Linked DNA regions of Canis lupus familiaris. The protein of the gene in region 2 purifies or fractionates together with the protein of the main gene of each other region. This does not show direct contact. Links are inferred from orthologs where the notes say so. Each region holds a gene or a part of one and is shown on either strand. Other genes may lie near its edges. The genes, in order: CUL4B, DCAF8 and CUL4A.

What was found.
Region 1: the proteins of DCAF8 (region 2) and CUL4B purify together in Homo sapiens (affinity purification with western blotting; 7 studies listed by BioGRID and IntAct, counting the BioPlex papers as one, with this or other methods). This does not show direct contact. The link is inferred for Canis lupus familiaris from reciprocal best matches to the Homo sapiens genes DCAF8 and CUL4B.
Region 3: the proteins of DCAF8 (region 2) and CUL4A purify together in Homo sapiens (affinity purification with western blotting; 11 studies listed by BioGRID and IntAct, counting the BioPlex papers as one, with this or other methods). This does not show direct contact. The link is inferred for Canis lupus familiaris from reciprocal best matches to the Homo sapiens genes DCAF8 and CUL4A.

Annotation. Positions count from the first base shown.
Region 1 is NC_049260.1:93,248,813-93,259,753, reverse strand, and holds part of CUL4B (cullin-4B), read left to right. Parts: intron 1-348; coding exon 349-891; intron 892-1,060; exon of another isoform or gene 1,061-1,164; coding exon of another isoform or gene 1,165-1,186; intron 1,187-2,986; coding exon 2,987-3,102; intron 3,103-10,941.
Region 2 is NC_049259.1:22,798,945-22,809,885, reverse strand, and holds part of DCAF8 (DDB1- and CUL4-associated factor 8), read right to left. Parts: intron 8,931-10,941; 5' UTR 8,905-8,930; coding exon 8,856-8,904; intron 5,560-8,855; coding exon 4,889-5,559; intron 3,976-4,888; coding exon 3,835-3,975; intron 2,607-3,834; coding exon 2,512-2,606; intron 1-2,511. UniProt on the Homo sapiens protein: May function as a substrate receptor for CUL4-DDB1 E3 ubiquitin-protein ligase complex.
Region 3 is NC_049243.1:60,804,388-60,815,328, forward strand, and holds part of CUL4A (cullin-4A), read left to right. Parts: intron 1-843; coding exon 844-911; intron 912-2,869; coding exon 2,870-2,988; intron 2,989-5,247; coding exon 5,248-5,440; intron 5,441-6,797; coding exon 6,798-6,902; intron 6,903-7,193; coding exon 7,194-7,304; intron 7,305-7,389; coding exon 7,390-7,475; intron 7,476-7,789; coding exon 7,790-7,897; intron 7,898-10,941. UniProt on the Homo sapiens protein: Core component of multiple cullin-RING-based E3 ubiquitin-protein ligase complexes which mediate the ubiquitination of target proteins. As a scaffold protein may contribute to catalysis through positioning of the substrate and the ubiquitin-conjugating enzyme.

The DNA.
Region 1 (10,941 bases), on a different chromosome or scaffold from region 2:
GAGCTGCAGCCTCACAGACTCACTGAGTCGCTCCTGCAGAAAGGGGGGAGAGAGACCGAAAAGCAGGGGAGGGGGACGGCACGGCCGTTTACCTGTCTGCCTCCTCATTCGCTCTCCCCCCTCGTTCTGCTCACTCCTGGTGTCAGCCTATCCGCCTTCCCAAACCCTCCCATTCCCCCGGTGTAGCCCCCCCTTCACTTTCCTTCTCGTCCTCTGTGTTTCTCCTCTCTTTCTTCCCTTCCCCCCTCTAGCATTGCCACCTTCTCTCCTACACGCACGCAGGCATATAAACGTAGGTTTTTGATGCTCCTCTGCCTGTTGACCCCGCTATTTTCATGTTTCCAACAGGTTTTTCTTCCCCCAATCCCTCAGCTGCTGCTGCTGCTCAGGAGGTCAGATCTGCCACTGATGGTAATACCAGCACCACTCCGCCCACCTCTGCCAAGAAGAGAAAGTTAAACAGCAGCAGCAGTAGCAGCAGTAACAGTAGTAACGAGAGAGAAGACTTTGATTCCACCTCTTCCTCCTCATCCACTCCTCCTTTACAACCCAGGGATTCGGCATCCCCTTCAACCTCGTCCTTCTGCCTGGGGGTTTCAGTGGCTACTTCCAGCCACGTACCGATACAGAAGAAGCTGCGTTTTGAAGACACCCTGGAGTTTGTAGGGTTTGATGCGAAGATGGCTGAGGAATCCTCCTCCTCTTCCTCCTCATCTTCACCAACTGCTGCAACATCTCAGCAGCAGCAACTTAAAAATAAGAGTATATTAATCTCTTCTGTGGCTTCGGTGCATCACGCAAACGGCCTAGCCAAATCTTCTACCACCACTTCTAGCTTTGCTAACAGCAAGCCTGGGTCTGCTAAGAAGTTAGTGATCAAGAACTTTAAAGGTAACCAAGGCCAAAATCCATAATCACTGACTAAGGATTTGACACTTGAGCGGTCACGTGCTCTATTTATGTTAATATATTAAACAGTATAGAGGTGGCCTAATGTTTTATGCATAATCAATGAGGTGGAGGGAGGTCCTTTTTTGGGTGGAGGGTTCATTTTCCGGGGGTGGTTAGTATTCTTGTGCTGAAGCATACACCGGCGTGTTTCTGTGCAGTATTTGATGTCTGGCTCAGTTTAATCTGTTACTCAGTGTAACATTGCCAGTCGGTATGATTGATCTGGATTATACAGGTGAGAAATTTGTATTCTAAGGAGGTTTATTTGTTTCAGGTGCATAGTGAGCTTTGGCACTGCTGGGATTTTTATTTTTATGCTTCAGTAGGCCACATTCTCTAGTCCCTAGAAATGCAGGTAGCATTGGTGATCTTTTCATGCTCAAAGATGATTTATAGTTAGATTTATAATGTTGGATACTATATTCTTGAAACTCCTTGTGGAAGCAGTTTTGGAGAAAAATATTTATGATCTCTGCATATCTTTCCAAAGATAGGGTTTGGAAGTGAAAAATACTGTATACACAAAAGTAGTAACTCTGTGTACCACTAGTCTAAAGATAGGAACAATTACTACATCTATTTTTTTTTTCACTAAAATGGGCTTTAAAGTACTGACCTGCAGCTTTTAGGAAAATTTGTTCATTTCATGTTTGAGATATGTGATTAAGAGTATTATGAGTGCATTGATGCATGTAAAATCAACAATTTTTAAAAACATAATTGAAATGAATTACTTTTTTTCTGTTGACTGTATTTGTTTTTCTGACTTAAGTTTTTCGACATCCTTAACTGGCAGGTAATAGATGCTAAGATGTTTATTAAATACAAAAGTAAATGAATGAACTGAAGTAGTATTTACCAGATAAGTGTCTTGTGGCTAAATATCAGTATTGAGAAAATTAGATTCTCAGTGCTTGTGTTTTCAACATTAGTGTGGAAATCAGAAATATGCTCTATTTTGTCTAGAGCAGAGGGTTATAGTGTTTATTTTTAACCTTTTTTTCCTATCACTCCTCTCCCATCCCCAGGTTCTTAAGAGTGTTGTAATCTTTCTGATTTAATAGTAGACCTTTCTGAAGTAAATGTGAATTGTAATTGACTAATATGTTCACTGTTCCAAAGTATATCAATTTAACAGTCAAGGATTTTTAAAGAGAGGAGTTATGATCCTAATTTAATTTGCATACTGGTTTCTGAGATTTTGTTTGGGTTTTTTCTTTCCCTCTTAAACTAAAAACATATCCTTAAGGCATTAGGATATTTTAATTTAAAAAATACTCATTGCTGGTCAATGAAGTTTAAAGCCTGGCTTAAGGTAGTCCTGTCCATTCTGAAAATGCTACAGAGGTTCTGGAGTCATTTGGATGTTTTAATTTTTTTAAATTTTACTCTGCTCATGGATGTAGTTTAAATTAAAATCTGAGTTAAGATGTTTCTCTTCATTTGTAGATGGTGCATAAATGTGGGGGTCAAACAGAGTTGGGTTAGAATCTCAGTTTTGCCACTGATTAGCTTTAATGACCTTGGGCAAGCCTTACTAAATGAGTCTTCTAGCCTCAGTAGTTTTCTCCGTTGTAAGATAGAGATAAATAATACCTTCCTTAGAGCATTGTTAGGGAGATTAAGATGTTTGTAAGGTACTGTGTGCACAGTGGATATTCAGTATTTTAAATCTTAGGTGCAAAATTCATGTTGACTGACTTAGGATTTACATGTGATGGAATAAGATCGGGACTGTTTTTATCTGTGATTTTTGAATTTTGATTTTTTAAAGCAATACAGTCAATTGAAAAAAAAACCTCTCACCTTTAATTTTAATAGGTGAGTCAAAATGACTTAAACAGTATTCTGGCATTTCAAATTTTATTCTTTATGCTAAGGCTAAAAAGCAGTAATTACTTTAATAATTAGATGTTGTGATTATAAAAATCACAATTTACCCTTGAAAAGCAATAATACTATTACTGTACTTTAGTGGAGCCTTCCATTACTATATCCTACATATTCTGATATCAACCTTGTACATATCACCTAGATAAGCCTAAATTACCAGAGAACTACACAGATGAAACATGGCAGAAGCTGAAAGAAGCAGTGGAAGCTATCCAGAATAGTACTTCAATTAAGTACAATTTAGAAGAACTCTACCAGGTATGTATTAATGTGGATAACCAGATTTGGCAAGCATAAATTGAAGTAGTATGTAAAATATGGATTTTACTTTGAAATGACTCCTTATGTAGACTTTTGGTTTCCTTCTAATGAAAATGTCTTGATTTATGTACTCTGCTTTATAATCAGACCACATATTCTGACATACTCTAACATTCTGACATAAACTATGAGTATAGTCATACTGGTATATATTGGGTTTACCTTGGACCCTTCTGACTGGGATTTATAGTGAGGAATACCTTGGTATTATCAAGGGTTTACCTATAATGGAATCATACAGCCTGGATCCCAAAGGTGTGATTTCTGATGACAAGTCATTCTGTTATGGTACTTATCCCTAAGTGGTGTTACTCACCTATAGGAAAGGCCTCAAGAAATGTAGATATTCTCTATATGCTTTATCCTCCCTCATTCATATTAGTAGCCTTTTGCCATTTCTTTTTCCTTTAAAAAAATAGTTTATTCATGAGAGATACACAGAGAGAGGCAGAGGGAGAAACAGGCTCCTCTCAGGGAGCCCAATGTGGGACTCCTGGGTTGGGGATCATGCCCTGAGCCAAAGGCAGACACTCAATTGCTGAGCCACCCAGGCGTCCTTGCCATTTCTTCTTCTTGTTCTTCATGTTTGTTTTATTTTCTGGGCTACAAGATTGTCTTTAGCCAAAAAATCAGCAGATTATAGTACAGTGACTTGATCTGAGGTTCAGGTTTGTTTCTTTTGCTTTATAAATGGGTTTATACTTGAAGTATTCAGTTTAAATATACCATTAAGGGCAATTACTGATTTAGACTTCTTACTACCATGATTTTGCTCTACTGTATTTTTTAAAAGATTTTATTTATTTATTAGAGTGCACATGCACAAGCTGAGGGGGCGCAGGGAGAGAGAGAAGTAGACTCTCCGCTGAGTGGGAGCATGACATGGGAGCTCAATCCCAGGACCCTGAGATCTTGACCTGAACCGAAGGCAGTCACTTAACCAACTGAGCCATCCGGGGGCCCCTGCCCTACCGTACCGTATTTTTGACGCAACCACTTCAAGAAGTTACTTTGCATTATAGTGTAAGCAGTTTCATGTAGAAAAATACTTCAGAATCCAATAGCTTGTGTATTTTTTAGAGAGCAAGTGCGTGCGCTAATGAGCAGTGGGGGGGAGCAGAGGGAGAGAGAATCTCAAGCGGTCTCTGCGCTGAGCATGGAGCCTGACTCTGGGTCCTGAGATTTCAGAACCCCAAGATCATGACCTGAGCCAAAAACTCAGGATATTTAACCAACTGTGCCACCGAGGTGCCCTGCTTGTTCTTTTCATATTGATAAGTACCTTGTAAGAAATTAAGTGGTTTGATTTATCAGAATTTGTAATTTTTATCTATTCATTTTAGTTGCAGAGATATTACGGTAATGGTTAAACCCTGTATTAGGAATCTGAAGACAGGGATCCCTGGGTGGCGCAGCGGTTTGGCGCCTGCCTTTGGCCCAGGGTGCGATCCTGGAGACCCGGGATCAAATCCCACATCGGGCTCCTGGTGCATGGAGCCTGCTTCTCCCTCTGCCTGTGTCTCTGCCTCTCTCTCTCTCTCTCTGTGACTATTATAAAGAAATAAAAATTAAAAAAAAAACTGTAAGGAATCTGAAGACAGATTTGGGATCTTGTTTTGGTGGCTATTACCCTTGTGATCTTGAGCAAGAAACTAGACCTCCTTCAACTTCAGTTTCTTCCTTTGTAAAATAGGGGAAAGAATACTTGTCCTATCTACCTCAAAAACACTTTGAAATGCTATATTCTAGAAATATAAGATGATGTAGTAAAGCTCTTGCATAAGTCACAGTGTGGTTTTTTTTACTTGTAATAAGTCAATTACGATCACCAGGTTCTATTGCTGTGAAAATCTCAAGGAGTCAGTGCATGGAAAACACTCAGAACATGCCCAACACATAGTAATAATGTTACACAATATAATCATTATAACACTGTGTTAAGTAGTACAAAGCTATTAAGGATAAGCCCACCTTATTTGACTATGTTGGTATGTTACATATGAGGCTTCTGAGTTGTACAGTAATAAAAGTAGAATTATGGAATTAGAATTGGAAAGACCTTAAGAAATTGTGTAGTCCAGTAGCTTTTTTTCATATAGTGCAGGTGGCCCTCTACAAATCAGGTTTATCTTTTATATCTTTTCAGTATTATAGAAACCCTTTGTCAAGTAGAGTAGTAGTTATTATTCCTCTATTGATGAGGAAATCGAGTCTCAGGGATGTTAAATAACGTGCCCAGACTCAAACTGAGATGGCCAATTTTCAAGTCCAGTGCACATTCACTACTGTGTTGCTTCAATAATACACCACAGCACTTCAAGTGCCTCTATAGTGTAGTGTATGTAAGAGACAAATAAATAGTTTTACTTTAGGGAAAAAAACTGTCACCAAATAAATTTTTTCATATGTGTGTGTGTATGTATGTATATGGTGATTATTTGGATACATTTTATATTTATAGCATATTGGCTGTGATTGTTAATGAACCCTATTTACTTTACCTTGAATATTTTTATAGACTTTTGGGGTTCAAAAATATTTTCCTGATAAATTGATTCTGTTAAATTTCCTTTGTTTCAAGAGCTCATAGCTTGCATTTTTGTGTTTTTCATTTTATCTAATTCAGAGTTACCACCTGCTATTGTTCAGTTGTATTTCTTTAGCCTAAAAACAGTGTTATAACTGTTTACTCTCTATATTTTTTACAGTACTTTACTATTTTTGCTGAAGTAAATTCAAAAGTATTTGTTTCTAGCTCTTTTGTTGTTTTTCACCCTAATTTTATAAATGCTCCCTTTGGATTATTCTCAGAGAGTTTATTTTGAGAATTTCAAGTTCAAAAAAGGATAAAAAGATAAAGGGAGTAAAATTGTTTTGTACCATCTGGATTTCAGGTACTTGTTTAATTTTGACTGAAATGTAAATTAAAAGTACTCTTCCTTTTTTTAATGTTTTATTTTTTTAAAAGATTTTATTTGCACAGAGAGAGCATGTGTACAAGCAAGGAGAGCAGCAGGCAGAGTGAGAAGGGAGAAGCAGGCTCCCTGCTCAGCAGGGAACCCAATGTTGGGGCTCCATCCCTGGACCCTGAGATCACCTGGGATCATGACCTGAGCCGAAGACAGACACTTAACTGAGCCACTCAGGCACCCCTAAAAAGTACTCCTAAAGAGAGTGTAAGGGGAGAAATGGCAAAAAAAAAAAAAAGTATTCTCATAAAATTGAGACGATAGAAGTATGTAGTATACCAAGCAAAAGTTCACCAAATCCCTCACTCCCCCATTGTAGCCTCTATCTCTGAAGTAAATGCTTATTTCACATGTGTCTGTGCAGAACTTTTGTCCGTGCATGTAAAACCATTAAGTTTTAAATCTAAAGCATGGAAGTCCCTAGTGTGGATTGCATGTACTGCCTCCCTAAAATTTTAATTTCTAGAAGAGAACATGTAGTTTTGAGTGCATTTGCAAGAAACAGATGTCTTTTAAAAGTGATTTAAATGAGGGATCCCTGGGTGGCGCAGTGGTTTGGCGCCTGCCTTTGGCCCAGGGCGTGATCCTGGAGACCCGGTACCGAATCCCGTGTCGGGCTCCCGGTGCATGGAGCCTGCTTCTCCCTCTGCCTATGTCTCTGCCTCTCTCTCTCTCTGTGACTATCATAAATAAAGATAAATAAATAAATAAATAAATAAATAATAAAAAAGTGATTTAAATGAGAATTGTACTTGAGCTTAAAAATTATCTTCCTGGACAACCTTGAAATCCTACAAGTGTGAGGCAGTGGTTAATGTTGTTTTGGTTTTGGGAGATTTTTTTTTGCTTGTTTTTGATTTTCTACAGATAGTATGGTTAAGTGCACTGATCTTTGAGTTCATCAGCTTGCTTAGATTAGAGATCTGCCACTCATAATAACTTTGGGCAAGTTACTTATCTAAGCTTTGTTTTCCCCATTTGTAAAATGGGAAGACTAATGTTACCTATATGGCAGGGCTGTTTAGCTGTAAAATACTGCAAAAAATTACTTATTACAATGTCTGCTATTTATTGGTGTCACCAGTGATGTTGATGATAATAAGAGTCTTTTAAAAAGATACTTTTATTTTAAGATTATACTTTATTATACAGCTCTAAAGCCACACGTTTTAAAATTCTAAATCCACATTGGGCCAGAACAGCCGGCTGATAAATAGATTACATTCCAAATATGTGTCAGTAGACACCATTAGCCAAATTGAAAAAAATAATAGAAAAAGAGAGGCACTCTCTAGGAACAGTGTCCTTTACATCTCAAGAATATGTCTTGTTTTTTACATGTGGTATCTTATAGTAGTTGGAATTTTTGGTATTTTAAGTAAAGGGATTATTTTCCTCATGTTCTCAGCCTTTGTATAAGTAGCTGTGGAGTGTTTTTATTTTTATTTATTTTTATTTATTTTTAAAGATTTTATTTATTCATGAGAGACACACACAGAGAGAGAGGCAGAGACACAGCAGAGGGAGAAGCAGGCTCCATGCAGGGAGCCCAATGTGGGACTCAATCCGTGACTCACGCCCTGGGCCAAAGGCAGGCACTCAACCGCTGAGCCACCCAGGCGTCCCTGTGGAGTGTTTTATTTTTTTTATTTTTTATTTATTTATGATAGTCACACAGAGAGAGAGAGAGAGAGGGGCAGAGACATAGGCCGAGGGAGAAGCAGGCTCCATGCACCGGGAGCCCGACATGGGATTCGATCCCGGGTCTCCAGGATCGTGCCCTGGGCCAAAGGCAGGCGCCAAACCGCTGCGCCACCCAGGGATCCCTGTGGAGTGTTTTAAAATCAGCTACATTTTTTTTGGAACTGCCTGGTTGTTTATATATGAAAGTATAACATTTATTCTTTTTTTAAAAAAAGATTTTATTTATTTATTCATGAGAGACACCGAGGCAGAGATACAGGCAGAGGGAGAAGCAGGCTCCCCGCAAGGAGCCTGATGCAGGACTCGATCCCGGATCCCAGGATCACACCCTGAGCCGAAGGCAGACACTCAACCACTGAGCCACTCAGGCGTCCCAACGTTTATTCTTTTTTTTTTCCCAACATTTATTCTTAATAAACATGTCTAGCTGTTTTCTTTGAAGACAAGCCTAATCCATACTTCAATTCTGCTGGAAATAATTTTATTTATTATTAATAATGGGAACTCTGGTTAGCTTTTTGTGAAGTAAATCTTAAATAATGAACTTTCCTAGTAACGCTTCATTTATCAAGTAGATGACTGTAAGACTGAAAGCAAATAGTGTGTCCTTCTCAGTATAGGTTATTACCCATTGTAAAATCTGGTGGTTTAAGCAGTCAGAAGTTATAGAAGAGCAGTTAGATTCTTAGCAGAGATGACCAGCTTTTGTATTCTATATTGATGAGTAATTAATTGTATTCTATGTAAAGTTATTTAATTGTTGTCACTCTTGATGTTTTTAAGTTTAATCTGTCACATATATTGCTTCTTTCTTTATTGAGTTAGTACACAATATTATCTCTGCAATTTAAAAAGTATGCAACTACAAATTCTTAATCCTTGGTAATTTTAGTCTTATTTAAACCTTTTTTCCTAGATGTAAAAAGAAAAATTAGGTTTCATGTCTGGCTTCCTTTCTGCAAGTTCTTAGTTTTTGGTATATTTCAAGTATCTTATTTCAGCCACTTTTACTAAGTGTAAAAAGGTAATTTAGATTTTATTGCTGTATCAGTTTTTGAAAACTGTGCTTTCCTTTTTCTTTAAACATAGGGTTTGAAAAATAAGACCCAACCCATTAGGCCAATGACCAGAGTTCAGCACCCTAATGGGAGTTTAATACCTTTCTGGGTGTCTGTTGTTAAATCAGAAAGTTTCTAGATTTCCTCCTATACTGTGTTTAATTATGTTTGCAGTCATTATATTTTTTTATTCTTATTTTAATCCTCTTCATTTTTTATTCTAGGCTTATTGCTCACCCTTATTTCCGTTCCCTTGTTCCAGATGAAATCTTTTGTGCCTTTGCTGTTTCTTAAATCCATTATTCCCCAAAGCATCAGATTTCAGGAACTATAGTTTTATATTTCATTTGCTACACGTTTACATTTCTTTGGAGTGAGTGGTTTTGTTTGTATCGGACAAACATGCTTTTTTTCTCTTTTTTCGGACAAACATATTTTTTGATGTGACATGTGTGGATTTTGGAGGGTAGGGGCTGGGATTTAGAGGAATAAAGGTTAGAATCTTGCTAGAATGTTTCTATTTTATATCTGACTGCCTTCAAAAATGATTTAAGGCAGCATATTTACCAGTAATGATTGGGAGCTTGAGTAAAAAGAGTTTTATTTAAGAGACTTATAAAACTATGTAGAGTATGATACAAATAGTTGCATGTGAAGTGAAATATAAAATAATTAATAAAAAAATAAAATAATTAATACTTAATGCATTTCTGGTAGTGCATTTCAAAGAGATGGAATAAAATAGAGCTTATCCTGGGGGCACCTGGGTGGCTCAGTGGTTGAGCATTTGCCTTAGGCTCAGGGTGTGATCCCGGGGTCTTGGGATATAGTCCCACATCGAGCTCCCCACGGAGAGCCTGCTTCTCCCTCTGCCTATGTCTCTGCCTCTTTCTCTGTGTCTTTCATGAATAAATAAATAAATTCTTTAAAAAAATAGAGCTTATTCCAAACTTTAAGTAGTGATTTAACACTTCCCTATTTATGTTTCTATCCCAGCACCTATACAGAGTACTTATTTAGTAAACAGTCCTTGTTGAATCAGTTACTGCTTCCTATGTGCAAAGCTGGACAGATGCCATGGGCATATAGAGATCACTTAGGCCTTGCCCCTAAGGTGCTTAGATTCTAGTTAGGTTCATGAAATTAGTAGTTTGTGACCAACATTTTTTAAGACATAAAATAGAAAATAATTGGAGAATATCACATATAGTAATAAGTATAGTTTCTTGAAGATTCTGTTTCAATTACATAAATCTATGTATAATAGCTTGTGACATGAAGTGCATTTTTTACTGTGGCTTGTCAAAAAACTTTGGAAACCCCTGTTTTAGGCACATATGACTGCTCCAAACAAACCTTGCTTTAAAAAGTAAGGAAAGCAGAGTGTTTAGATCAAGGTGTGTGTGGAAGATTATAAATAGACATCAGACTAAAATGGTAAGATTGAGCCTTGAATGCCATGCTGAAAGGTGGGGAAGGTAGAAAGGGTTTATTGGATGAGGTGAATATATACTTAATATATTCATCCTATTAGAAGCCCAAAAAGTATTACAGAACATGTAGTGAAAGTTTTACTTCCCCTCTACCCTCCTTTGCATTCAGCTAGTTCCTCTATCCACAAACATTATTAGTTTGGGGAGTATCTTTTCCAGCAGTGTTTTATTTATTTAATTAATTTTTAAAAGAGGTGGAGTTCTGTGTAAGGCAGGAGGGAGACCCTGGACTTTTTTTTTGAGACCCTGGACTTTTTAATAAGATTTTATTTATTCATGAGAGAGGCAGAGACATAGGGAAAGGGAGAAGCAGACTCCCCACACGAAGCCTAATGGGGGACTTGATCCCAGGACCACGACCTGAGCCAAAGTCGGACGCTCATCCACTGAGCCACCCAGGTGTCTGGGCCAGCCAGGTACCACCAGGTCTGCTGTTTCCTGGTGAGGTGCAGTCCTTTGTATTTTTTAATACCTATTATGGGATTTCTCCATAACAGTACTTAAGGAGCTTGATGAAAGGTTGTCAAGGAAGGGAAATTACTAGATCTGGTT
Region 2 (10,941 bases):
GCGGATCAAACAAACTCAGCTCATTTGTTACATCTTTGTCCTTCCCCTACCTCTGCAACTTTAGAATGAAATAATGAGGGAGGACTGGGTTGCTCAGCAGGGAAGCATCTGCCTTTGGCTCAGGGCCTGATCCTGGGTCAGGGTATCAAGTCCCCCAGCCAGCTCCCTGCGAGAAGCCTGCTTCTCCTTCTGCCTATGTCTCTGCCTCTCTTTCTGCATCTCTCATGAATAAAATCTTTAAAGAATAAAATAAGAAAACAACAAACATGTAGACTGAGAAATCCAATGATCTCCTCACAACTAAAGAACTGTGGGCTAGTACCAGAAGGCAGATGGATTCCTTGTCAATTAGTCCTGTTCGCTTTCCAGTAAAAGCCATAATTTCCCAAACTTCGTTCTCTTGAAGGTTTATATAAGTAACCTGAACATCCTTTCCACAAGCCTAAAACATTTTTTAAATTCTTCCACTTTCTAGGGTGACTGGGTGACTCAGCTGGTTAAGCATCTGATTCTTGCTTTCGGCTTAGTTCATGATCTCAGGGTTGTTAAGATCAAGCCCCATGTTGGGCTCCAACTTCAGCACAGAGCCTGCTTAAGATGCTCCCTCCCTCTGTCCCTCCCATCTCTTTCTAAATTAATTAACCAATTAATTAATTGTTCCACTTTCTAAACAACCTTTTCTATAATTATCTCTCTAAAAATAAAAGTCTGGGCGCCTGGCTGACTCTGTTGGTAGAGCATGCAACTCTTAATATCAGGATTCTGAGTTCTAGCTCCATGGTGGGGTGTAGAGCTTACTTAAAAAAATAAAGAAGGGGGGGATCCCTGGGTGGCACAGCGGTTTAGCGCCTGCCTTTGGCCCAGGGCGCAATCCTGGAGACCCGGGATCGAGTCCCACGTCGGGCTCCCGGTGCATGGAGCCTGCTTCTCCCTCTGCCTATGTCTCTGCCTCTCTCTCTCTCTCTCTCTCTCTCTCTCTGTGTGTGTGTGTGTGTGACTATCATAAATAAATAAAAAATAATAATAATAATAATAAAATAAAGAAGGGGTGCCTGGGTGACTCAGTTAAGCATCTGCCTTCGGCTCAGGTCATGATCTCAGAGTCCCAGGATTGAGCCCCACATTGGGCTCCCTGCTCAGTGGGGAGTCTGCTTCTCCTTCTCCCTCTGGCAGCCACTCGCCCTGCTTGCGCTCTCTCAAATAAATAAAATCTTTAAAAAAAAAAAAAAAGAAAAAAATCTAATATCAACCAAGTTTGAGATTATATTCCCTAAATTAGTTTATATTCTACTTGTATTCTATGTAAATCAATGACATCCCTTACTTAATATTGGTATTGACATACAAGATTTCTTATAATTTTAAGATTAACAAGACCATAAATTATCTAGATAATTCATCAACAAGGCAGCAATAAAATAAACTGTATTACACCAATGCTGTAATGTAATGGTTAAGAAGACCTTTATGGTCTGATGCATAAAGATTTCCAAAACACAATTCAACGAAGAAAGCAAACTGCAGAAACTTACATTATGTATGTTTATACATACATATATTTATCCCATTTATAGGGAAAAGTGTATATATGAATATATGTTAAGATACATAAAAATATACAAATAGGACTGGAAAGGTATTCCAAAATTTTTAGCAGCAGCTACCAATAGCTAGAAAAGTCAGGGAGGGGAGGTGTGCCTGAAAGAGCATTTACATTTTGTCCATATACTTTATTATTTGAATTTTAAAAATAAGATATATTTATTATAAGAACAATTAAAATTTTAAAAACTAATTAGTAGCCATAATATAATCAGTTCCAAACATGGTGCCAGACACTATGCTGGACCATCAATCACATTTATCAATGACCCCCTCAGAGCCTAGGGAGAGAAGGAGAGATGGGTTATGCCCAAAGTAAAGCTGGAGAAACAGAGGTTCGGAATGGTTAGATAGCAGTGCCTGAGTTGCAATCTGACCTAGGTCCGTCCAGAGCCAAACAAGAGCTCTGTTCTTTCTCTGACATCACACAGCTGATGAGGGATGTCATTTAACCATGAGCCTCAAATTTATGTAGAAATGAGCTGTGATACAACAGAACTCTATTACAGCTACTAATATTTTAGTGTACGATTTATCACTTATTTTCATATTTCTATATATAATTGAACTGAAAACTACACAGGACCTAAGCTGCTCTGTAGATGCTTCCTATGGGTGAGCTGAGTGGCACCCAAGCGGACAGAGAGGAGATCAACAAGTAGTTATTAAAGCCCACATATAAGAGAACCGTATCTTGTTTTAGACATGAAGGTGGACTGAATAGTACGGTACTGCTGAGAAGCAGGCAAACAACAAAGGGAGGAAGTGCCCTGAACTTCAATCTGTTTCTTAGCACAGGCACAGAGGGACTCTTTGGATTGACCAGAGAGGTGGGTATTACCTAGGACACGTGGGGTATTTTCAAGGCCAAGAGGTCCAGTTCTGTAAAAACATTATCGCTATACTTACGAAGCTGGCCGGTCTTGTCTGAGGTCAATGGTGAAGACAACTGCATCTTCACCTGCGGACAGAAACGTACAGGGAGAGTCCGGTTCCAGGGCCAACTGAGGGAGAAAAAGAAAGGTTTCTACAGATCAGAGTCAGAAGCCATCTAGTTCATTCTGTTATCTTTAGGAAGGATTGCATTTTTAGTATCTCAACTAAGAGACATGTCTAGCTTTTCTGTTGTAAAACCCCAGGAAAGGAACTAAGAAACCCATTCACTCTTGTTCTATGTGAATTAGTTATAGCTTGTTTTATTCTATACAAGTCAAAAGGACAAGAGTTTTCTTATTTCAACTAAGTCCCCAAGGGATCTGAATAGTGATACCAAAGAAAAACTTCAACCATTAAAAAGGGTTATTCTTTTTTTTTTTTTTAATTTTTTTATTTATTTATGATAGTCACACAAAGAGAGAGGCAGAGACATAGGCAGAGGGAGAAGCAGGCTCCATGCACCGGGAGCCCGACGTGGGATTCGATCCCGGGTCTCCAGGATCGCGCCCTGGGCCAAAGGCAGGCACTAAACCGCTGCACCACCCAGGGATCCCAAAGAGGGTTATTCTCAAATAAAATCAATTCCACTCTCAGGGAGAGAAATGATGCCCAAGTTTTTTACTCTCTACATCTTAGTTGTAAAATTAGTTAACTAATGGGTTGAAGGTAGTAGGCTTAAAAATCAAAGAAATAGGTAACTTTCTTATTTTCTGAGCCATCTGGACTAGAAAAGGATATTCCAGGTCCACCTATATATTAGCTTAGAGTTTCTAAGAGAGGGCCACCCGCCTCTACAGCATGACCACTCTGAGACAAGGCAGCCCTCAGCTCCTCACCCATGCCCCTATGACTGTCTGTCCTATATTCCCAGTCCTAAATAGGGCTTCCAGAAATAGTGCTGTCTGTGCCCTGAGACCTAGGAGAAAAGTTGGAGCTCTCACATGTGAGGAGCCAACCACCAGGACCTTGGAGCTATTAAGGTGTTCTAGATACAAGCAAAGTAAATTTAAGAGGAAGGCAAAGGAGACCTCAAGGACTTCCAAACCGACCATTGGTCAGCTTAGGGGTTAGGCATAATTAATTGAATACTGTACACGCAAGATCTAGAGAGCTTTCAAATACTTCCAAGAAGTTTAGGGTGGTTGTTACTTCTCCTTTCTTATCTACAAATTTTAGGACTGGAAGAAGTGAAGCAGGTGATCATGACAGGACACACATAGGCAGAGATCTAGGAAGGTCCTGGCTGAGATGCCTGAGCAGCTGGACTGCACAACTGTGGGAGCAAAGCTTACTTACCTTGTGGGACGCTCCCTTGTGTTGGGCCACACGCTTCGTATTCTTGCAACACTGTGTAGCAGATAGCTCTGCTACCCGCACCTGCCCATCACGGGCACACATGGCCAGGGTGGAATCACCACTGTTAGGAAGGAACTTGGCCTGGGATGTTCATGAAAAAAAGGGATATACGAAAGAAATTGAGGAGGTGAATTTGAGAGGGAAAGACTGTAATAACAACCCCAATCTATCCCCTTGGTTGCACAACAGCTGGAAACTTAGCTCTCCTAGTCTTACTGTTGGCTCAAGTCCAATTTCTTCTAAGAGTTAAAGAAGAGGGAGGAAAACCTTCTGATAGAAGAGTATCTCAGTTGACACTGCAAGGACCTGGTATAGGATAAAGCGCTCAGGTGAACTAGGACTATGCCTACTAGGGGAAAATGTAAGGAAAAAAGGAGGAAAATCTATCTTAATTCAGAAAGCAAACAAATTTGCTACAATGACAAAGGAAAACAGAGAGGATACTGGGGAAGAGATTATGCCTAGGAATCAGTGCTAGTACCAAGATGATGGAGAGGGCTGATGAAGAAACAGAACAATAATGCTAATACTCATCAGATGTTCAGAAAGCACCAGGCATGGTTTTACACTGCTTAACCTCTATCATTATTAACCCTCATGGTCTTCTGTGTTACTAGCTCTACACTACAGATAAGTAAACCAAAGACAGACATTAAATAACTTGCCCAAGATCATGAAGCTAATAGGTGCAGGACCAGGAATTAAACCCAGTCTGGTTCAAGAGCCTCTGTTCTTACTCTGCATGCCTTCTACTAGGGCACACTTAGTACCTTCCTGATGACTTCCAAACACCTCTATGCTTAGGAAAAATAAAAGGTTGTCATTGGTCGCTTAGTGCATTTAACCCCTCTAAGTCATCGTGGGAGCACGCGAGGACTGAATCCTGCTGCCTTAATTCCTACCACATCTCACTATCAGCTCCCACTCTAGGCACCTCAGGCTTTTCTAACTCCTGCCTGACTTTCTCTACTGCTGTTCTGCTCCCCTGCCTCACCTGGAAGACATTGCTTTTGTGGCCGCTCTCAAAGTCCAGTACTGGCTGCCGCCGCACCCAGTCCCAAACCACCACTTTCAGGTCATCGCTGCCACTGGCCAGCCAGGTGCCGCGCTGGTTAAAGTGCAGGGTGTTGACACAACCAGTATGGCCCTCAAGCCCATGCTGTAGGCGGAAACGCTGCACAAAGACTCTTGCTCCACAAGCCTCGTATACAAAACGGGCACTGGAACCCAGCTCCCGCTCCCGCAGGGCAGGAAGGGCTTGCCAGCGAGGTCGGGGCAGGGCGGATGTCTCTGAAGACACCCAGTCCTCCAGGGCCCGCTCATCATCTGACGAGTCCTGGTCACGGTTGGCCCGCTTCCGCTGGACACGGCGCCGAGGATGCTCTTCCTCCTCCTCCTCTTCTTCTTCTTCTTCCTCTGAGCGGTCATGGACTTGGTTTTCATCATTGATGGAGTAATGGCCAGTGTCCTCCATGCTGTCAGAGTCCTTGTCTTCACCTGAGCTCTCTGTATCTGTACCCCGACTTCCTGTGCTGATGCGATTGGGGCCACCATCATCCCCAGTCAAGCTCAAGCTCAGGTCCGAGGCTTCCACTTCAATGCCTGAGGATGTCTCCCTCCCCTCCTCAGCGCCAGACATCTCCTCTGGACTGCTAGACAGGCTTCCTGCAGGTTAGTGAGGAATGAGTGGGTGAGGGGGGGAAAATAAGGAAATGGGATAGTGATCAGAAGCATAGCCCCTCCTTAGTCCCAGAAATCATCACATCAAAAGACCCAGAAACCAACTCTGGTTAAGGTGTTTTTTTCAAATGCTTATAAAAACTAACTTCTGGGCAGGAATCTGAGAAAGGACAAAAAACTGAAAAGATTAAGACCAAAGCCACATGCAAACAAAGGTATTTCACTATAAGTGAAGAACTGTAGGACAGCCTAAGAGTCTATCTTGCAAAGCATGGGCAGCTGTGTGGAAGTACATCCTATACAACCACCTGAAGCTCAGTTCTGCTGGACACACATCCAGCAGCCACAGCAAAGAATTAAACTGAATATAAGACAAAAAGAAGGGATCCCTGGGTGGCGCAGCGGTTTGGCGCCTGCCTTTGGCCCAGAGCGCGATCCTGGAGACCCGGGATCGAATCCCACGTCGGGCTCCCGGTGCATGGAGCCTGCTTCTCCCTCCTCCTGTGTCTCTGCCTCTCTCTCTCTCTCTCTCTCTCTGTGACTATCATAAAATAAAATTAAAAAAAAGACAAAAAGAATAGCCATCCCCAGGAAGAGCTGGTATAGTCATCTTCTTAGAGGATACAAGATAGCGGATTAAAATCACTCTGACAATGGGTGTGGAGTTGAAAGATTTCCTACTTAAAGAAAGCACCACTACCTCCTACTTTCTAAATCCTAATTTCTTGAGGTCCTAAAATCCAATAGCAATCCAGGAAGAAGTAGAAGGGACACGTGGGGATTCTGACCATTAGAATGGGTTAACTTTTTACGAATAGATGTATTCTGATTTCTATTAATTTAATAATGTTAATAGGACTTTTAGTTACAGTCTTTTTTTTTTTGGAACTTTTTTTTATCCAGGTAGAGTTTTATTAGGATGCATATGCAAGGGCAGCCCGGGTGGCTCAGTGGTTTAGCGCCGCCTTCAGCCCAGGGTGTGATCCTGGAGACCGGGGATCGAATCTCACGTCAGGCTCCCTGCATGGAGCCTGCTTCTTGCTCTGCCTGTGTCTGCCTCTCTCTCTGTCTCTCATGAATAAATAAAATCTTAAAAAAAAAAAAAAAAAAGGAAGCATATGCAAAATTGACGAAAAGCAGGGCTTCGTGAGTGGTATCTGAGAAAGAAAGTTCACCATATTCTAAGTCTGCCATGTTGGTGGTTGTAACAGAACGGAGTCACTTTGAGCACTCTCATCCCTGACAATTAGACACTGCATTCGCCTACCTAGCAACAGGCAAATCATATTTCAATGAGCACTCTGAGGCAGCCCTGGTGGCTCAGCAGTTTAGCACCTGCCTTCAGCCCAGGGTGTGTTCCTGGAGACTCAGGATAGAGTCCCACATTGGGCTCCCTGCATGGAGCCTGCTTCTCCCTCTGCCTCTCTATGTCTCTCATGAATAAATTTTTAAAAATCTAAAAAAAAGAAAGAAAAAAAAATCTAAAAAAAAAAAAAAAAAAGAGCACTCTGGCCAATATGACCATAACTTCCACACTGAAGCCAAGGTATGAAGGAAGGAAGGCAGGAATGAGGACTTTAAGTACCGTTCACAGTCTCCTTTCCTGATGACAGACTTTACCTTGCCAGAAGTAAAGGCTGTTAGCAACAGCAGACCAGCTATGTGAAACTCTGGTAGGAGCTATCCAACCCCACAAGGATGCTGAAAGGATTCCAAGTAGCGCCTGACAACTTAGTCACCTGGAGTAGAGCAGTAATTTCCAAAGATCTTTGCAGCAATGGAACCTCCGCACGACAAACTCTCAGGCAAAACCCGACACAGAAAACTGATGAACAATACAAACGCATTGGTTGAAGTGGTGACTGAAGGTTGGGAGACTCATAAACAGCTCTTTTCAGAAAGCACCACAACTAAGATCCCAGCATGAAAACAAACGGGTGTAGGAACTGGAAGAAAAAGGGGGAAAGTGCAGCAATTCGCCCCTAGGAACCACACTTGCTGAGACTGCTGTGAATACTGAGAAAGATTAGTAGTTGTGGTTTCTCAAATACAATTGGCTTTGAAACTGGGAGTGGTGAGAAAGGATAAAACACCACACATTTCACTTCTGCAGATGAGGAAAACTGAAACACCAAAGCTCCCAGCATTTCTTGTTAAAGTTATGATTAGCCAATCAAGACGACTTGGAGGCCCTACCGCATTAATGTAAGGGCCAGCAAATTACAAGCTCAGCAACAGGACCCTAACAGTCAATGACCAAGATCCAGAGGTTGGCAATTTTTTTCTGTAGAGGGCCTTCACAGGCCATATGGATCTGTCACAAGTACTCAGCTCCACTGTTAGAGCACAAAAGCATCCATAAGCACCATGTGAATAAGGCATGACTGTGCTCCAATAAACTTTACAAAAACAGTGGGTGGCTGGATCTGGCCTGCAGGCCACAGTCTGCTAATGCCTGATCTGGCTAATGGCCAAATTCCAAATCAATTATATACCTCAAACCTGAGTTTCTCAAATGAACCCAGTGAAGAATCTCAATCACTTTCTTTTACAGAGATGAACGAACAGCACTGCTAAGAGAACACAGGGGCAATAAACCAGGTTGTTGAAAAATCTCACTTTCCCTTACTCAATGTCGTTGCTCTACAATCACATCAACTAGAATTGAGCCTATAATCCTGACCTGCAATGTGCTGAGGAATGCTGAACTCTATGCTGTCCAATTATATCCATTTGAAGGACATGTCTCTAGTTTAGAAGCTGGCCCAGGGTTGAAGCACTGATCAAATAAACCATTACCAAAACCTTCAAACGGGCCCTGGACCCAGTGAGTTCACACCCAGCCAGACCCCACAAAGAATGCAGGCCAGCCCTCACTCCAGTCAGTGTGGGCTGTAACTTCATCTCTTGTCTGCTGTCTCTACCAAACTAGGACCTGCTGTAGAAAGAGACCTCTTATCACAACTGGGGAACCTCACCTTCCCACAACTCCCTTATTTCCACCACCAACTGATCTTTCTTTCCTAGGTTTCATCCACTCTTACCACTTTTCAGAATTCCAAACTACCTGAACTCCTCCTAATGGCACAGCTCTATTACTGATCTTCTGGAAACAATGAGAAGTTGAACGAACAAAAGTACCGGATAGTCCAAGGTGTCTCCTGCATAGTGTCCTACACATAAAACACAGGAAGGGTCCACTCTTAGGAAAGATTTCCTCCGCTAAAATCCAGGTCTCCACTTTCTTTGGGGAAGGAAGAGAACCTCAGGTAGCTCCTTACCATTGGCTAAGTCTGTTTTGCCATCTGCGCTGCTCCCTTTGCTGGACATCTTGAATGATGTTTATTGTGGCCAGCCTGCATTTAGGAGAGGAAGAAAATGAAATAATTACGAAATAATCTAGAAGAGAAGATAAAAGAGCCAGGACATTTAACCATGCACACAGCCTTTGTCATTTTCATAAGAATGATTTTTCTGAGGGGCGCCTGGCTGGCTCAGTTAGTGGAGCACGTGATTCTTGCTCTCAGGGCTATAAGTTCGAGCCCCACATTGAGTGTAGAGATTGCTTTAAAAAATTAAAAAGAAAAAGAAGATTTTTTTGAGTGTGTGCTCAACAGGGCTCATTAGCTCCTGACAATCATACCAGGGCCCCATCCCCCATGTCTAAATTTCATAACAGAACATATCTTTGAGAGGTCAACTGCCATCTCTCTTTTTTTTTTTTAAAGATTTTATTCATCCATTCATGAGAGACACGGGGGGAGGGGGGGTGGAGGGCAGAGACACAGGCAGAGGGAGAAGCAGGCTCCATGCAGGGAGCCCAATTCGGGACTCGATCCTGGGACTCCAGGATTGCGTCCTGGGCCAAAGGCAGGCGCTAAACTGCTGAGCCACCAGGGGGTCCCTCAACTGCCATCTCTTTACTGAGTAGCTGGCAGTGATTTCTGAGATGAGAAAGAAGGAACTGAGATACCACCTGTGCCAGCACATACCCAGTGACAGGTACTGCACACAGAGGACCATAACCTAGAAAGCTACCTTCAGCCTTGCCCTCTAGGCAAGAATCTTCTGTTGCAAATTTAGTCAGATGGATCACCCATAAATTCTATGAAAGACTTGTCTTCGTAACATGAACAAGGGGGCCAGACTCTGAATATCACATTACACACAAATCAACAGAGACAGAAGAGACCAAGCTGTTGGGGTGAGAGCCTGGGCTTTAGGTTCACTCAGATGCCAAGCTTCAAGCTCACAGGCACAGATATTAATGAAGAATTATAAGCAACAGAGCCAAATTAGAATTCAGGAGCACCCTCTCCCCAAGAAAGAACCTAAAAGATTTCTTTTTTTCCTTTTACAACTAAGTCAGCTGGGGAAGAAGCTTGTAAAGGCCACATTTCCATTAAACTATCTCAGTCCACTTTAAAAACGGCAAATGTTCTTCTACCCAATTCCACCAACTTTCACCAGATCTGTTTAGAAAAGTCCTATCTGGCAATCTGGGTACCTAGCTTTTCTCCTTTCATACCACTGTTAACACATTCATTATTTTTACAGGGCCTCACTCCCACCTCGAGCAAATTCCAAAGAGCAAAGAATAATATTATTCAGACCAGAATTTTGTTAAGCCCTTTCAGTGCCTAGACAAAAGGCACTGGTCAAAGACAAAGTATGATTATGACTCCAGTCCTCGTACCCAGGCACACTGGCTTCTAATCTTTCAACAGCCCTTTCATTCACATAACAATTATCCCAGAAGCAGCCTCATCCTTATCCTGACCCCCTACTCTCCTCTACAGAAATCCAAGTTGCTTCAAAAACTGTCCCCTGCCAGGAGACAGCTGCCCAAAGCTTGCTTGGCAGGCCAGGGCGGGGGGGTGGAAATAATGCACGGGCAGGCTGAGGCTGAGTCCAAGGAAGGACCTGGAAGGGTGCTGGGAGACAACGCCAACAAAGCACAGATTTGTGAAGCCACGTCAAAAACAACAGCGAAGAACGGTTTGCAGAGTAGGCTGTTTTCCTCCTCCTACTCCAAGGAGGTATTTTTGTACAGCATTCCTCACACAGCACTGGCCTTTTCCCATTGGTAGTCCCTGTATTTATTCTTGAGAATCTCAGCAATATCTTCTTCCCCATCTAGGGTTTAAGTTAATTATATTAACTGCAAAAAGTCCTTTGAGGCGGGAAAAACAAGTGTGCTACCTTGTTAAGATTAAAAACTTGGGGGATGCCTGGGTGGCTCAGCAGTTAAGCGTCTGCCTTTGGCTCGAGCATGATCCTGGAGACACGGGATCAAGCCCCACATGAGGCTCCCTGCATGGAGCCTGCTTCTCCCTCTGCCTGTGTCTCTGCCTCTCTCTCTGTGTC
Region 3 (10,941 bases), on a different chromosome or scaffold from region 2:
TCAGTAGCACAGTCTCTGGCTTCTGGTCTCAGGTAGGGTGGGCAGTCGGAGACAGAACATGTGCCATGCCTCTCTCTAGAGTCGCTGTGAGGCTGAAATAAGATTAAGATAATATGTTGGAAAGTTCTTCATGAAGCAGAGGCTCGTGATGGTGCCCAAAGTTAATAATACTTTCACTGAAGCACGTGGTCTGATCTTTGAAAAACAACTAAAAGGAAATAACTGAGGATGATTCACCCAGGAAGAGTAGTTTCGAGTATCTCCGTGAGTATGGCAGCAATACCTAATGAAGTTGCAGATTTTCAAATACTCTGTTCTGTGTGACGTTTGTGCAACGTAGGCCTCACATTGGAGCTTTGATAAGTAGGATTTTTGATGAGCGGTAGTGGGAGGGGATAGGCGGAAAGATGTGAGGACAGAGCGACAGGCCTGGCCAAGTAGAGGCTTATGGGCCTGGATTAGTGCTTCCACGGCTGTGCCATGGAAGATGGGGAACTTTACAGGCCTCCCATTTCAAAGGCAAAGTCTCGTTTTGAAAACTGCCAGCCAAGCTGGGGGTGCAGGGCGCTTGTCCTGGTGCTGGCATCTCCTTTTCCCTGGACCCGCTGGTCTTTTTTTTTTTTTTCCCCCACTGGTCTTTTTATGTGATTCCGTAATGACTACGGAGTCTGCACAGACAGTGGGTGATTGTTCATGGCTGGAGAGAAATGCCTGTTGTGGTGCTTGGAGCCATTGGTGTCTGAATGACTCCACATCATGTCTGTAGACCATAAACTCCGCTTCTTTACAGCTGACCAAAGTCTTTCCCTTAATTTCTGACACTTGGTCTTTTGCCTCATGTAGGAAACCACTGATTGCTTGTGTGGAGAAGCAGCTATTAGGAGAACATTTAACAGCAATTCTTCACAAAGGTAGGTTTCCTTGACTTGTGAAAAGTTAGACCAAATGATGGTATTTAATATATTAAGAAAGCAAATGAGATGATGTGCATAATGACATAGAGGACATTTGTTATTGTAACATGACGATCACCAAAAATCATTAAGAATAAGGAGGGCAGTCCAGGTGGCTCAGCGCCACCTTCAGCCCAGGGCCTGATCCTGGAGACCTGGGATCGAGTCCCACATCGGGCTCCCTGCATGGAGCCTGCTTCTCCCTCTGCCTGTGTCTCTGCCTCTCCCTCTCTCCCTCTCCCTCTCTCTCTCTCTCTCCCCATCTCTCATAAATAAATAAATAAATAAATCAGAAAGAAAGAAAGAAAGAAAGAGAAAGAGAAAAGGAGGGAGGGAGGGAGGAAATGAAAGAAAGAAAGGAATGAAAGAAAGAAAGAAAGAAAGAAAGAAAGAAAGAAAGAAAGAAAGAAAGAAAGAAAAAGAAAGAAGGGAAGGAAGGAAAGAAAAAGAAAAGAAAGAAAGAGGAACACGTTAGCCCTCAGGGAAAGTGAGTTCAGAGAAATCATGAACCACCTCTGATAGAAATCCCATGGAATGCTGTCTCACCCGAAGCTGCCAGAGACCCTCCCAACCACACACAGCTTGCGGCTGCGTCCTTGCCGGGCGCTCATTCTCCTTCACTGGGTTTGTGCTCATGGGCATAGGCTGCTTGGACAGGCCCTTAGATTGTCACCAGGCATCTTCCCAGGGCCTCCATGCAGCTGGATGCCAGTTGAACTGCCAAGAGGCTGGGGATTTAGGCCAGGATACACTTTTCCATCCTGTGTCTTCTGGAAGAACCAGCAGCTAGGAGAGCAAACATGTGGCCTTGCTAACTGGGCAGGCTTCTCTCCCACACCCTGTCCCTCGTGGGGCTCTGGAAGAGCAGCCTGGGGAGGAGTGACTGTAGCTGCCACTGTGTGCCTGCTGCTGTGTGGCTGTGAAGGAGGTTCACACAGTCTGCTCCTCTTATTGATTTCTGCCCCTCAACTGTGTGCTTAGTACCCTGGAAAGCAGAGTGAGCATAGTCTCACCTTATAGAACATTTGTAGTTGGTGTATTTAAAGTTACCATTTAAGAGTCATGTTGGAGCTACAAGATCTGTTTCAAGATATGGAGACCTTTTTTTTTCCTTTTTTTTTTTTTAAATGGGATTTTTTTTTTTTAATTTTTTTTTAATTTTTATTTATGATAGTCACAGAGAGAGAGAGAGAGGGAGAAGCAGGCTCCATGCACCGGGAGCCCCATGTGGGATTCGATCCCGGGTCTCCAGGATCACGCGCTGGGCCAAAGGCAGGCGCCAAACCACTGCGCCACCCAGGGATCCCAAGATATGGAAACCTTAAGCTTAGTCATAGAAAGGCCCAGAATTATAAATTATATTATATATTTATATATTATTATAAATTATTAGAAAAATAATCAGCTGAAAGATGAGACTTGGTAACTCCCCCTTTGACAGATCTGCTTTCTGAGTGATAAACTAGATCAGGGGTAAGAAGGGGCAGTGAGCCGTCAGGGAGTGCTGCTCAAGCCCCTGAATTAGTGAGACCAGGGCTTCCATGACCTGAGGAATTAAGGAACATACCCGCCCGCCTGCTCAGAAAATGAGCCCTGCCTGACCGGGTCTGTCTCGGATTCCGGAGATTAACGTGCCTGCGTAGAAATAAGTTTTTTGTTTTGTTTTGTTTTTCATTTTATTTATTTATTCATGAGAGAGACAGAGAGATAGAGGCAGAGACACAGGCAGAGGGAGAAGCAGGCTCCATGCAGGGAGCCTGATGTGGGACTCGATCCCGGGACTCCAGGATCACGTCCTGGGCCTAAAGTAGGCGCTAAACCACTGAGCCACCCAGGGATCCCCCTAAAAATAAGATTTAGTTCTAATGCTGACTTGCTGATGGGATGTGCTTATTACTTTTGCTGTGTGATCTCAGGGCTTGACCACCTGCTTGATGAGAACAGAGTGCCCGACCTCACTCAGATGTACCAGCTATTCAGCCGTGTGAAGGGTGGGCAGCAGATCCTGCTGCAGCACTGGAGCGAGTACATTAAGGTGTGTGGGGCCGTCTCAGTGGGGTAACAACTATACCTCGGGTAGGGCAGGTGTCCTACCTCCATGGTATGTGGCATCTGGCAGAGGACCTGGGCAATCTGGAGACACCATATTTCTCTCCTGGCAGGTGCTTGGGTGGATAGCGGTCTTGCATTTCTTATTTCTTTCCAGATCACTGGTACAAACTTTTTTTTTTTTTTTTTTTTTTTTTTAAGACGACACCAAGATTATGAGCAGCACCTACAACCAGGTGCAGTGAAAGTCTTCTATTCGTTGTCTGCCTAGGCTCCATTCCAGTTACAACCACAATTTTCAGAGAGTCACCCTTTCTGTGAATCTGCTTTTTAAACATCCCATGCCTTTGCTCATGAGAATGATAACACATTTGGTGTGTGTGCCGCTTCATTTCCTGGCCACCTGGGACTGTCACTTTCACAATACTGTGATGTTTCTGTGGCACATTAGCGTGTGGTTATGGGAAGGCAGCAGGATGGTTCTTGTGCTGGTGCTCAGTGCCTGATCACGATGATGGGTGCACAAGGCTGCCCCGGCAACAAGTCCAGAGAACAGTACACACACATGGGAGACAGATAAAACTAGGGCAGCCTGGAGAAGATGGGTGCAGAGTACCTGTGCCTGTACCTCAACTGTGATGCTGCTCTATCATTTTGCCAAATGTTAGCTTCATGGGGAGCTGGGCAAAGTGTGTAAGGGATCTTTTTAACTCTTTATACTGCATGTGAGTCTATAATTATCACAAGAAAAAAAATCAGTTAAATAGAAGGGATAATGGGAAGCTTGCATGTGGCTTTATGGTATAGTCGGTCCTAAAACTTCATTATCTACACGTGGAAAGCTCATGCACAGGGGTACCACACCCTCGGAGACTTTGGAGACAAAATTCATAACCAACTTATGTCAGATCAGCCGAAGACCTGGGTATTATGGAAAGTCTAATGGAGAACAAGGGTGTTGCTGATGAGGAGCCCTTGGGACATGTGCCAAGCACAGGAGGTTCTTACCTTCGCACAGTTCAATCTGGGTCATCAAAATGAGTGAGGTGACCACCATTCCTCAGTGTCCACCAAGGATCAGCTGTCACACCATGACAGGAACACACAGTGTGGGATTATCACAGGAAAGCTGAACCTTGGCAGCGTGCGTGTGTGTCATTTTTAAATGCTGTTGGTGCAGAAGGGCACAGAGTAGAAAGTCCCAGCCCTGCTGGTCACACGGTGTCCCTCTCCAGAAGGTCTCTGTGCCAGTTTCATTTGTATCTCTTCACCAATAATCTGCCTCCACTTTACATATATGACACATGAATATGTGTGTATATGCTATGGAAACCAGTTTTCCAAAAATATGTATATTATTTCTGATAAAAGACAAAATTCGGTTGAGGAAATTTTGAAGATCTTACTGGCTTTATTTAGGGACTCATGAATACTGCATACAGATAGAAAGAAGCCTTGGAGAGCAGGATGATACAGAAGACTTCTAGGCAGGCGGGGGCAGAACAAGGAAGGTATTCTAGTGAAGAACAGTTGGCTATGGCAAGGTCACCTTCCTTAGAGGACAGCAGGGATCTGTGTGGTAGAGCACCTCACTCGTGCTGGCAAGCCCAGTGATGGACTGCTTTAGGACTCCATCCTCAGAGTGGCTGAGACTGCACTTAGGGCAGCAATAAATCCTGTCTGCTGGCCTGGGGCTGAGCACAGTGCCTGCATTTGCAACCTGCATCTCTCCCTTTTGAAACACATTAAATAGTAGTAATTGTAACCTAGCACAGTTTATATCATCTGGTAGTGTATATCCTGAAGCAGCTATTACTGTCACATACAGACTTTTGGTGATGTTGAATATAGCATTTTTGAATTAAAAATACAGGCTAACAGCTGGGCTATTCTTGGTTAGCAGTGGGGGAGTAAAAATACTATAGTCAAGAAGTCCAAGTGGTTGTGTTAGGTTCATGGGAACTTGTGTTTGAGGAATTCATAGGATAAAGGTTTTTTTTAATAATAAACACTAATTTATGAATTCTTTCAGAAGCAGAATTGTAACACTGAAGCATTAATTGTGTATATTCACATAATATTTTGAATGTGGGCTGAGTCTGTGAAACTTCTGAAATTATTTAGTATTTAACACCAACAGTAATTAATTTAAATTAAAGTATTATGGTTGTTTGATAGCAGGATGAAAATGTGTGATACCATTGCCGGTTGATGAATTGGTGTGTGTGTGTGTGTGTTCTTGTAGACTTTTGGGACAACAATTGTTATCAATCCTGAAAAAGACAAAGATATGGTACAAGATCTGCTGGATTTTAAAGATCGGGTGGACCATGTGATAGAAGTGTGCTTCCAGAGGAACGAGAAGTTCATCAACTTGATGAAGGAATCCTTTGAAACGTTTATCAACAAGAGGCCAAATAAACCCGCAGAGCTGATAGGTAGAAAAACATACTTCCATACCTAAGTTTAATATGGGAAAATAAGACAACTCAAATAAATTTTTTTCCCCAGAATGTTTAAACTCCTCTTGGGGAGGATGGGGAAAGATTTGTGTTATATCTCATGAGGACACATTTTTTTAAAACGTGTATATGTTACGTATACATATAAGCACGTGGTACTTCTATAGGAAGGGTGAACATAGTAGCAGTTTTGTAAAGATGACGCTTGAGGTCAAGGAAGACAAAATTTTATTTTCATATGCATTTGCTATACTAGTAACTCCAGAACCGTATTTGGTAAAATGAACCCTGTTTCTGTCTTGATGACAGCGAGTAATTTGTGCTCAGAAACTGGATGAAGAGGATTTGTTCTATACGAATATCTCTGTGTTATGAGGATGACTTGATAATCTCTAGAGTGTATTTACCTTTGCATCCTCTCATCAGTACTAAAGTAGGATAAAATTGGATAAAGTCCTAGAAGATAACATGGTTTAAGATAAAACAGTTTTATTACCACTGTATACAATTATGTCATCCTAATACCAAAACATATTTCAGGATTCACAGCCTCTCACTAGTTGAAGTTTTTAGGCAAAGAGCAAAGAAAGAAGTAGTAAATACAGTAAATTCAACATTGGGCTTATTGATTACTGTTGAGGATATGTGATGGGAACGTGGGGTTCCTTATACATTTTCCTACTTTGGTGTATGTTAAGAGTATTTCATAATAAAAATATTGTGAAGGAAAAACTATAAAAGTAGCAAGAAGCAGGGCCCCTGGCTGGCTCAGGCAGTGGAGCCTGCAACTCTTCATCTCAGGGTTGTGGGTTCGAGCCCCACCTTGAATGTAGAAATTACTTTAAAAAATAAAATCTTTTAATTAAAAAACAACAACAAAAAAAAATTCACAAGGCAGTGTAGTTTGGCCTTTGTGCCACTTTATGATTGCGGTTTCTCCAAAGATGGATATTTAACTCTTGGGGTTTGAGTTTCTGGAAGCCATGGTTGATCTATGTGGTCTCAGCAGTAAGAACCCCCCTGAACATCCCTGTGTTCAGGGGTGCCGCATCTCAGAGAGGGGGCGTTCCAATCTCTGGAGCAATGGTGTGTTGTGAAACCCAAGCACGTAATTAAAGTATTCTCAATGTGACTTGAAAATCCTTCACTTAGAAAATCAGATTATCTGCCTTTTATCATATAATAATGTCATTTTGGGAAGGTTCCAGAGTGTTGCTGTCTCTGCTTTTTTGCTTATAAAAACTAAAGATATTCTTTTTTTTTTTTTTTTTTAGAAAATGTATTATATAACAAATACTTACCCTTCAAATAACTTACACTTTTAATCTCACAGCAAAGCATGTTGATTCAAAATTGAGAGCGGGTAATAAAGAAGCAACAGACGAAGAGCTGGAAAGGATTCTTGACAAGGTCATGATAATATTCAGGTTCATTCACGGTGAGACATGCTCTACGCTATTTCTGTTAACATTGAGCATGGAGAAAAGGTTACCTAGTCCATCTGTACTGGGGCCCTGTCTTTTCTTGAGAAAAATTGAGACATTTCCACTTCCGTGTTAACACAGGAAATAGAGGGATGGCCGCCCACCAATTGCAAGTATTATTTTGTGGAAATGTCACTGTCTTCCAAGTTAGATCTGCTTGCAGCAGAATAAACACTTAGCGTTTCCACAGTGAATATTTGCAGATTAACTGATGTCTTCTGTCGTTCTCATTTGGTTATAAATAGGGAAAGATGTCTTTGAAGCATTTTATAAAAAAGATTTGGCAAAAAGACTCCTTGTTGGAAAAAGCGCCTCAGTTGATGCTGAAAAATCTATGTTGTCAAAACTAAAGCATGGTAAGCATGTGGGACCCGGGGTCTGTCCTTCCTCTGTGCTGGGCGTTGTCCCTGGTGGTGTTGATGCTCTCCACTTATGTCCCAGAATGCGGCGCTGCTTTCACCAGCAAGCTGGAAGGCATGTTCAAGGACATGGAACTCTCCAAGGACATAATGGTCCAGTTCAAGCAGGCAAGCTGGGTTTTTTTTTTTCCCCAAAGTAAAACAGCTGTATATAAACTCTCTCCCATTTTAAGTTATGTGAGGTGATAATGTAAATCATGTAAAGCCCTCAGGCTTAAAAATGACACTACTCATGTCTCACATATTTGAATGACTTAAATTCAAAAGGAAAAAGAAAATCCCTGAAATAACATAACAAAATTTGATTTAAGTAAATATAATACTGTGCTGTGTGAAAATTACACCATTTACCTTTCTATGAACTCGCTATTTTTGATGATATTCTACAATAGTTACTTAATCTTGATCTTTTTTGTTTTTAGTATATGCAGAATCAAAGTGACCCAGGCTCTATAGATCTAACAGTGAATATACTTACGATGGGATACTGGCCAACCTACACACCAATGGAAGTGCATTTAACCCCGGAAGTAAGTGTCTCAGAGAACGTTGTCCTTTTTTTTCATATATTGGTGCGGCCAAAGCATTGTAGACTTCTTAAACACACACGTGCACAGACATATTATCTGTCACAAAATATTTAATGAGTTTTTCTTTTCTTTCTTTTTTTAAGATTTCATTTATTTATTCATGAGAGACAGAGAGAGAGAGAGGCAGAGACACAGGCAGAGGGAGAAGCAGGTTCCACACAGGGAGCCCAATGTGGGACTCGATCCCGGGACTCCAGGATCACGCCCTGGGCTGAAGGCAGGTGCTAAACCGCTGAGCCACCCAAGCATCCCATGAGAGGGTTTTTCAAATCACACAAAGATCAGTGTCCTTGTGGTCTCTGGAAGGCATTGTTGCTCAGTGAATGTCTGTGTCCCGTCTGGCTCCTTCTCACCCCCCGAGTTCCCTGGCTGACCATCAAGAAGATAACGGCACTGGTATAGCACTACTTGGCAGTTGTCATTCCGTCCTGGTGTGGGCACTGCGGGTCTCGTGGGCGCCCCTGCTCAGGGCTTTGTAGGTCAGCCACAGCTTTAGGCATGCTGAGGATTTACAGACAGGAGGGAGGATCCTAGGCTTGGGAACTTAAAATCTCTTCACCATTCATTCTAATATAGGTGACGTGGAAGAGGGCTGCTTCTGGTGTGGGACCGGGAAATAGGAATGCAGGGCTGAGGGTCTCCTGCAAAGGGCCCAGAACAGTGTGGAGTTGCAGGAACTGGGAGCCCGGGTGGGAAACAGCCCTGTTGGGGCTTTTTGTTCCATGTCCAAGACCATGTCTTTCAGGATTTTCTTCTGTTTCTGACCCCACTGATTGCTTTTGTATTCTTTTTGTTTGTTTTTCATTTACTGTTGAAGCACAGTTGACATACTATGTTGCACATCTTCATCTGTTTTTCTTCCGCCTCTCCTCTGGACACTAATGCTCCCAGAGCCCTGGGCCTGAGTGCATGCGGACGTCCCGAGCTCAGCACCCTAGATTGCGCTGGTACCTGAGTCCCCACCCTGTGGGGTATTCGACTGCTGTTTACAGATGCAAAGGCTCTGTACTAAGCTGCCTGCTGGCTCTGTAGCTTCAGAACCTCCATGTGTCACTTCCAAGCGGAGCCTCCACCAGAACACCCGCACTCACCTACCACCTCACAGCGTTCACCAAGCCGGACACATCCACCCTGGCTGTGCCTCTTGTGGCCCTGCCGAGTTTTTTCGCTTCTTTTTTCAAGATAGTTCAGACTACAGGGACTTTGTGAGAATAGTTCAAAGAATCCTCAGAACCTGTTGCCTGTGTTTCCAGCCCTCCTATGGTGCTCATTCTCTTTGCGTGGATGGGTGGAACATTCCTGCCGTTTGGGAAAGGCTATCTCCTACCTCCTATCCCTAAATACTTCTGAGGTACTTACCAGGGCATGTTGTTGAGTCAGACGCTTGATGCTGCTGTAGTAATTTCATCCCACGTGTAGTCCTCCGATTTTGTCCAGATGCAGCCCAGACCCCACACTGCAGTCAGCTGTAACAGCTTCACTGCCCTCTTTCTGTTTCTTAACACTCATGTGTTTCAAAGCCACGTGCAGTTTTCATGAATTCTCTCCATGGGATGTTTGTGATTGAATTCAGGCTGTGCTTGTCCAACCAGAATCCCACATGGATTTGCTCAGCATGCTAATGCTGTCCATGTGCCCCTGTCAGTGGTGGTGGTGGTGGGTGGTCTATATCATCACTTGGTTAAGGTGTTAGCTGGTTTCTTGAATGTGGTTAGTAGTCTTCCTTTTGTAATTTAGAAGTAATCTGTGGGAAGATATTTCAAGACCACATAAACCTTTTCCCCATCAGACTTTCCTGCTGGGAATTCCTGCCTGAGTCCACTTTCATTGTGATGCCCCGCAGCTTTCTCTGCATTTGTGTGAACTCTCAGACTCTCGCTTACTTGCCACGGTGTTCACACTATCCTACATCCGGGTGCTGGGGCACCTCATAGGCCCTTTGTGGACTTTTACTAACTTTTTGTTTTCTAGCAAAAGATGCGTGAGACCTACCATACTGTGTCTTTTTAAAAATATACCTACAATACACGTATAAATAAATAAATGGTAGGCAGAGTGTACCAACAGTTTACCACTTTGAGCTGTACCTTTGACTGGCTCAGAAGTTTGTCATCATCCAAACAGAACCCTGCACTTATGAGCACTGCCTCCAATTCCAGCCACCCAGACCTGGGCATCCACTAACCTGCTGTCTCTGGATTTGCCTGCTCTGGGTATTAACAGAATTAAAATCACATTTTGTTGCCTTTTGTGTCTCACTACTTCCACTTGGCATCCTGTATTCAAGGCCCATCGATGCTGCAGCCCATGTCGTACTTTCTTCCTTTTTAAGGGTGAGCGATACTCCAGGGTGTGCTCGGATCATGTTTTTGTCTCTGTCCAGAGGGACCATCCCAAGTTGCTATAAATGCTATCAGAGCAGAGCACTTGGAGAAGACCGTGAGGAAGGAGCTCTTAAAGATAAGTGGGCATGGTTATGGAGGCAGGTTCCCAAGTGGAAGCCCAAGGGAGGACAGTATGGTGCCCTTGGTCAGGCAGAAGAGGCACAGGCCAGGCCAGTGCAGGTAGCGGTTCAGAAGGAAGGGACCTTGGCAAGCCTTTTACTCTTTATTCTAAGAACCTGGAAGTAGCCAAGGACACTGACAAGGGAATGAGCAGAGTGCACAGGGCCGTGAGCTGAGGGTGCCACGGTGTTCAGGGTAGATAGGAGACAAACCGAGGAGGGCTCAGGAGTGGACACGGGGTAGAGACATAGAGGTCTAAGCAATGAGTGTCACAGAGAGCAGGATCATCTCACTAGTTGAAGCTTGAAGCAGCACAGACCATCAGCTGTCCTGGGTGCAGAGTGGTGGGGACATCCAGGGAGCCGAGCAAAGAGTGGAAGATGGGGTGTGCAGCAGGCTTCCAGTGTTTGACAGCACCCGTCCAGTGGCGCAACACCAGTCCTGGCATGAGAGCAGGCAGGGAGCCCGAGACGTGTCAGG